Linked DNA regions of Rattus norvegicus. The protein of the gene in region 2 purifies or fractionates together with the protein of the main gene of each other region. This does not show direct contact. Links are inferred from orthologs where the notes say so. Each region holds a gene or a part of one and is shown on either strand. Other genes may lie near its edges.

Region 1 (4,594 bases), on a different chromosome or scaffold from region 2:
TATAACATTGACTATAAAGTTTATTTAATTTAGTTATCTATAGATAATACTTTAAATGTTTTGGTTTGTTCTTTTGAAGGAGTCCCTTATGTTAAAATGCTGCAGGTTGGATTAACTACCAGAGGTGAAGCATTTGACCCCTTACTTCTCCGACACTCAGTGCAGTCCTACATAGCACGAGTGTCTTAGGGTTTCTGATGCTGTCATGAAACACCGTGACCAGAGTGGGAGGAAAGGGTTTATGTGGGCTTATACTTCCACATCACTCATGCTAGACTGATTTAAAACACTACTGGATGACAGATTTGTTCATTTACCAGAGGTCCTAAGACAATCTTTTCAGTAAAGGACTCATGTCAGATATTTATGTCGCATGCCATGTGCCCGATGGTAAGGTCCTGGACGGGCATCCGCAGCTGCGTGTCCCCTGTCCTGCTCCAGTACACTGCTCAGCTCAGCCAGACCAACCTCACCACTACATACAGTCTTGCTTTTCTGCACACTTGTTTTATGTGTTCTGAATGAGTATGTATGTCTGTATACTGTGTATGTGCCTGGTGCCTGTGGAGGTCAGAAGAGGGTGTCAGATCCTCTGGAAGTGGAGCTACGGATGGTTACAAGCCTCCATGTGGGTCCTCTGCAGGAGCAAGAACAGAGGCTCTTAACCCCTCAGTCATCTCTCCAGCCCCCTACCCATCTGAACGTTGTTTCAGAGGGAACTTGTCTTTCTTTTTTTTTAAAAAAAAAAATTTTTTTTTAAGATTTATTTATTTATTATATGTAAGTACACTGTAGCTGTCTTCAGACACACCAGAAGAGGGCATCGGATCTCTTTACAGATGGTTGTGAGCCACCATGTGGTTGCTGGGAATTGAACTCATGACCTCTGGAAGAGCAGTCAGGGGCTCTTAACCACTGAGCCATCTCTCCAGCCCCGGAACTTGTCTTTCAAATCCATCTTGCACTTTTCACTTACCTATTTTATTTTATGTATGTATGTGTGTGTATATGTGTGTATGTATTTATGTATGTATGTGTGTATATATGTATGTATTGAGACAGTGTCCCTTGTAGTCTAGGCTGGATTTGAAATTGCTGTGTAACTGAAGCTGAGCCTTTTCCAGATCTTTCTGCCTCACCTCTAGATCCTCTGAACAAGCAGCCAAAGCTCTTAACCGCTTCCTCCTTCAGTCCCAGCGTGGCTGTGGCTCTTGTTATTCCCTGACATCACCTGTCTGACTCACCTGAAGAGCTGGTGTACCGCTGGGAGCCTTGCCTAGTATATGAGGGCTCAGTGCTCTATGCCAGCAACTCTATACAGAATACTATCTCCTCCCTCAAAAACAAAGAAAGAAGAAGCTCTTTGTCCCCTGAGTTCTTCTCCCCAATACCATGTCTCTATTTACTTTTTTCTATCACCTCCAAGTGTTATATCATGTCTTAACCATTTTCTTCTTTTAAAAGTTTGTATTATATCTTTGCTGGGTGGTTGTGTTTTTAATTGCTGAAGCCTCTGGTCCTCTTAAAAAATATATTTAATTATTTTGAGTACTTTTTTTTTTTTTTTTTTTTTTTTTGGGTGTATGTGTGTGCATATGTGCCGTGATGCCAGAGTCGGTTCTCTCCTTTCACCATGTTGGTCCTGGGGATGAGCTAAGGTCTCCTGGAACCTTTACCTACTGAGCCTAAGGTTTATGGGGCCGGGGTATAGGTCATTTGTAGCACAAACACAGCACCATGTAAATCAACCATGTAGACTTCTGAGTGTTCTCTTGATGTCTTCCTGGGCACCTTGTTGTATCCGTGTATGCACGGATATACACACCTCACATGCACATAAATAAAAAACATGAACCAGTGTCCTTTGCATCCGCGTGTTCCCATGCCTTTGTGATCCATCTTCCTAAAAGTTTTGAATAAAATCTTTCGCTCAGTCTTCTTTTCTCTTCTCCGTGTACTTGCCTTGGCCCCTGACGGTGTGGTTTCTTTACTGCTGTTGATGTTCCCTTTGCCTTGTACTTTCTCAGAAAGCCAGCTCTCCCTGGTCTGCCTCATGTGTTACTTAGAAGCAGCAGCAGCCACTCTGTGGGGGCAAGGATTCTGAGTTAGTCAGTAAATAGCAGAAGATTGAAAGTTGATGTGAGAAGTGCCTTAGCTGTGGTCTCTCACCTCAGCACGCAGGAAGTGGAGGTGGGAGAATTGCAAGTTCAAGGCCTGCTTGTTCGACATACTGAGCCTTGTCTTTCATTAGGACGGAAGGATGGGTGCTGGGGGTTGTGCACATTTACACACACTTCTCTCACTTTGGAAGGTGTTTGGAAACGAGAGACTAACTGCAGCTTAATTTCTGTCATTTCAGGCAAGTACATTGCCTCAACACAGAGACCCGACGGGACATGGCGCAAGCAACGGAGGGTCAAAGAAGGATACGTGCCCCAAGAGGAGGTCCCAGTGTGCGTGGTTAGGCTTAACAAGGGGTATTTAGTGGGTCCCTACACAAGTATAGCGTATTATGCCGTGGAGTTCAGGGATGAATCGCCTGGGCCTGAAAGAAATGGAAGGAGGGACAACGGTCTCAGGAGAGGAAGGAGCTGGGATTGAGGGGTGAGTGGGGGTTTCCCCAACTAGTCTTGTTCCTTTGACCTCTCTTCTCCAGGATCTCTAGACAGCAGTCAGAGGGCCAGAGCCTTGAGTTCTAGAACTTTGGTACAGACCAGGGACCCTGAAGGGCAGAGAAAACGGGAGTGCAATGGGAAGGGGTGAGGTGGGAGGAGTGAGGCTGGGGTTAGTCCTGGAAGCTTTAGCATCTCTGTTTCTTGCAGCTATGAAAACAAGTATGTGAAGTTTTTCAAGAGTAAACCGGAACTTCCCCCAGGGCTGAGCCCTGAGGCCACCACACAGGTCACACCATCCAGACCTGACAGTGGTGAAGCAGGCCTCTCCAAGACAGCCAAACGCAACCTGAAGCGGAAGGAGAAGAGGAGGCAGCAGCAGGAGAAAGACGCGGAGGCCTTGAGCAGGACTCTTGATAAGGTGTCTCTGGGAGACTCAGCCCAGATGCCCAGTGCTCACCATGGCCCCCAAGCCACCCCTCCAGCTGCCTCCGATGCACCTGACTCTGCTGCCACCACAGAGAAAGCCAAGAAGATCAAGAACCTGAGGAAGAAGCTGCGACAGGTGGAGGAGCTGCAGCAGCGCATCCAGGCCGGGGAGATCAGCCAGCCTAGCAGAGAGCAGCTGGAGAAGCTGGCACGGCGGAGGGTGCTGGAGGAGGAGCTGGAGGACTTGGAGTTGGGCCTGTGAGGCTTCAGGAGTAGGGGAGTGGACTGCAGAACAAACCATGGGGTGCTCTGGGGTCCAGGGAGCGTGGGCCGCAGCAGTCAGGAGGGGCACCCCCATACTGGCTCACTTCCACCTCCTCTGGCCCGACTCCGTCCTCCAGAGCCGAGGCTCTCTCTCCTTCATCCCTTTCCCTTCTCAGCTCCCATTTTTGAACTTTTCCCTTCCATCCATTGTTCACAGTCTGAGTGCTGACCCCAGGTACCTCTGCTGCTGATCTGGGTGTCTTGTTGAAAAGGAACCCCAGGAGGGTGGGAGTCTGTCGGAGATCTGAGGCTGAGGGTACAAGGAGTACCCACGTTTTAGAGTCTTGGTTCCTGTTCAGTGTTTATGAGTTACTTCCCTGCCATCCCGAACCTCTTCTTCCTCTTCCTCTTCCTCCTCCTCCTCCTCTTTTTTTTTTTTTTTTTTTTTTTAAAGGCAGTAAGAATAAATTCAACTAGACGGCATGGCTCAGGCTTTGACTCTCTTCTCAACTCTTGTTCTGTCTATGAAGAAGACACTAGGGTTTTAATGGTGCTGGGGACTGAACCCAGGGCCTTGCACATGATAGCCCTGCCACTAATCTGCATCCTAACCCTTAACACTTCACCATCATACATGCAACTGGCTGTGGTAGCACACACCTGTAGTAGGACTGGAGTCAGGCGGGATCGCCAACATTTCAAGGCCAACCTGGTCTATCTCAACAAAGTAATGTAGGGCAAAATTACACTTCAGTAAACAGAAGTTAGCATTGAAATGTAGTAAAATTTAGAACAAGATTAATTTGACACTAATGTATGTGTCATTGTGCCACAGAACAATACATCTGCTGTACCTTCCTTATTGCTTCTGAAGTTAACTGTAAACCAGTTGAAATTTCACCTTGGATGATGCCCAAGATGGTGTCAGGGCAAAGTAATGACTTACTGAGATATATCCAAAAGATCTGCTGTTCATCTCTTGTCTTACCCATGCTGCACCTTTGTCACAGAGTACTGGGAACCAGGGTTAGCTCTCAGGAATTCAGAGGCCACCAAAATTAACCCCGTTAAACTCTTACCCTCTCCCAGGCCTTTTAAAGCTTTTGGATCTTTGAGAATCCTTCCTTTACCATTACTGTCACCCTCAAACATGAGCTAAGTCACCCATGTCTGTGTGCTCCATGTGTGCTTGCCCATGGTACACAGACGTGGAGAAGACATCCACCTTGTAAGGCTTGATGATTCTGAACCTCAGGGATCCACCTGTGTCCACCTCCCTAGACAAGCTC
Region 2 (2,983 bases):
AGAATACTTAGTAGTTAGACACAGTCACTTTGTGCTCAGGGCTAGGTAAGAAAATAAACTGTTTACTGTGCACAACTTTAATCCCCAAACATAGGCAACGAGGCAGACGGATAGATCCCTGTTTGTTCAAGGCTGCCAACCTCGTTACACATTGAGATCTTGTCTCAAAGAAAGGAAGGAAGGAAAGAAGGAAGGAAGGAAGGAAAGCAAACAGACCTTAACAAACCTGACCCATTTTATGTTGAAGGTATGGATTATTTTAAAAATTACTAGCCTGCTTTTAATTGAGTATTTAGCATTGATCTTGCATGAGGAAAGTAGATATACTAATAAAAGTGGGATTATGGAATTATCTTTACCTTTAAAATTACTCATGATGTTCTCTTTCTCTCCACACAGGGAAGCTTAGATATGCCAACAACAGCAATTATAAAAATGATGTGATGATCAGAAAAGAGGCAAGTTCTATTTTCTCTCTCTCTCTCTCTCTCTCTCTTTTCTCTCTCTCTCTCTTTCTCTCTCTCTCTCCCTTTCTTTTGAGACAGCGTCTCACTTTGTAGCCCTGGCTGTCGGGGAACTCAGTGTAAGCCAACTAGACTGACTTTGAACTCAGAGATCCACCTGCCTCTGGCTAACTTCTGTTTACATGTTTATTTTTTTATATCTTGTTCATTTATCCTGAAGTTATTTCAGAGGTCTGTTTCAAGAAACCAATTTATAGATTGAAATGTTTTTATTTTAATTACATATGATTATAGCATTTTTTTAAAAAATTTTTTATTGTGTTTGTATGCAGCTGGTAGAAATTGGTTTTCTCTTACTATATGGGTTCTAGTGATAGAACACAGGACTTTTTCCTCGGCTGCCTTTACCCACTAAGTCATCTTGGTGGTTTTCATTTTAGTGTTTTTTTTTTTTAACAAAAGAATCACCCTTAATACTTATAACCCCATATCATTTAATTCATTTTATGAAGTGTAAATTTTAAATGAAAGGCGTGGAAGTCAGGCTGGCCTTTGAGTGCCAGCTCACGTGTGAGAGCATTGTGCTCTTACTCTATGGCCCTAATACTGGCCCAGTAACTGTAAGCTGCCTGGGTGCCCCTGCTTCCCCAGAAGAATATGGAGCCTCAAAGAAGCTAGAGTGGGAAGACGGCACAGTGTGTTGTAAAGAGCACGGTGTAGAAAAAGTAGCAGTAGTGAGAAGGACGATTTGGGATCAAATTCAGTTGTTCACGCCTATTGTGTTTGGACATTTAGTTAGGACTTGCTTTTATTTTGTCATGCTGAACTGTGGGACATTCAAACAGATGGGCATTTACAGATTTTATTGAACTGATTTTCAGGCTTATGTCCACAAGAGTGTAATGGAAGAACTGAAAAGGATCATTGACGACAGTGAAATTACAAAGGAGGACGACGCTCTGTGGCCGCCTCCTGACAGGGTTGGCCGGCAGGTCTGTGCCTTGTGAGTTTTTAAGTGGATAGAGTCAAAGTTGGTAATATACTTAGTGTGTTTTTAGGATTTTTTTTTTTAATTGAAACTTTGATTATATAACTTTACTTTCTCTGTAAACTTTTTAATTTTGGTATTGGAGATTGAAGTCAAGGTTTGTACATTCCCAGCAAGCAAATGCTTCTGAGTTACACCTCACAGCCCTTACTTGGCTCCATTTTCCTTGCTAGCTCCACTTACTAAAGGTATTAGCACATAGCTCTAAAGTTAGGCAGTAACATCTTTTCTCTAACTTGTACAGCTCAAGCTTGGACATTTTGACACTTATGAGTTATTTATTATAAATTAGCTATTATTATTAGTTATTTCTGCTATAAATATGTATACACCATCATTGCTAGCTAAATTTGAGAGTTATGGTTATTCTCATTGAATGTAGCAGTTCACTTTCTCCAATTTCTTGTCTTAACATTCATATATCTGAGAGCCGCAGAGAGAGACCCGATGGATTTCTTTGCTCAAGTGGACCATTGTGTTTGCTTCTTAGACCCCCCTCAGAATAATCGATGTTTCCAAAGTGCTCCCAAAGAACTCGGCAGGCCCAATTTCACTCTGTATAGACAGTTTGGTTTCTAAATTGGGACTTTTCAACTCTTAGAGAAATGAGATACAAGGTCGAAAGAACTAAGCATCTAATGTCACTTTTGTGTGTTCTGAGGACTATACATATGGCGGGCACTCTTTTTGACGAGAAGAAAGATCTGTAGAGAAGCCTGGCACATGTTGAAAGGAGCAGTGGTGGAACTGTTCTGTGGCAGGAACTCCATGCAGAGCGTCGTATCAGGAAGCAGAGGCGGTGGTCTGTGTCCTGCGGGAACCCGAGTTACAGGGCCACTGCATAGGAGTAACTGGGCATCTGTGTCCACAGAGAACAGCAGGGCATTTTAAAACTATTAAACTTGTTTCTACAGGGAGGATGTGATATGCAGATTTGTCTGTGTTAATAAGGCGATATACTCTTTCAGAGGGTAGATTTGTAATATACATGAGAAAATGTTGCTATTTTTCATTTATCTCTGCCTTAGTAACATTTCTGAACATCAATTTTAGAAAAATAAATTCAGAGACAGAGGACGTTGAGTATGTATAAAAATGTTTTCATCTGGGGAGAGCCAGTGCTCATTCCTGTGTAGTAGCTTTGCGTTCTCTGTGAGGGAGTAGTCTGCGTGCTCCAGACACTGCTGCCGGATAGTTAAACCAAGCCTGCTGTGATTAGCAGAGAATCTTAGCTAATCCTCAGGTGGCTGTGTCTCATGAAGTGCACAGTTAGGCCTTTTGATTAAATAGCTGGGACTGTCTTTAATAGCATCTGGTTGATAATTTAGTGTAAAAATGCACTAATATGCAGCTCCTTCACTAGCTTTAGATTTCTGGATAAGTAGTACAGATAAAATTTGTATGATGATAATCATCCTGGAGTAACTAGATTATATTGATTATGTTGCATTGTTATGTAAGTTCTAGTTTT

What was found. The genes of interacting proteins can lie anywhere in the genome.
Region 1: the proteins of Magohb (region 2) and Pym1 purify together in Homo sapiens (co-immunoprecipitation; 3 studies listed by BioGRID and IntAct, with this or other methods). This does not show direct contact. The link is inferred for Rattus norvegicus from reciprocal best matches to the Homo sapiens genes MAGOHB and PYM1.

Annotation. Positions count from the first base shown.
Region 1 is NC_086025.1:1,779,645-1,784,238, forward strand, and holds the end of Pym1 (partner of Y14 and mago), read left to right. Parts: intron 1-2,359; coding exon 2,360-2,453; coding exon of another isoform or gene 2,454-2,601; exon of another isoform or gene 2,602-2,822; coding exon 2,823-3,303; 3' UTR 3,304-3,787; downstream 3,788-4,594. UniProt on the Homo sapiens protein: Key regulator of the exon junction complex (EJC), a multiprotein complex that associates immediately upstream of the exon-exon junction on mRNAs and serves as a positional landmark for the intron exon structure of genes and directs post-transcriptional processes in the cytoplasm such as mRNA export, nonsense-mediated mRNA decay (NMD) or translation.
Region 2 is NC_086022.1:166,767,688-166,770,670, reverse strand, and holds part of Magohb (protein mago nashi homolog 2), read left to right. Parts: intron 1-94; exon of another isoform or gene 95-247; intron 248-399; coding exon 400-458; intron 459-1,345; coding exon 1,346-1,456; exon of another isoform or gene 1,457-1,467; intron 1,468-2,983. UniProt on the Homo sapiens protein: Required for pre-mRNA splicing as component of the spliceosome. Plays a redundant role with MAGOH in the exon junction complex and in the nonsense-mediated decay (NMD) pathway.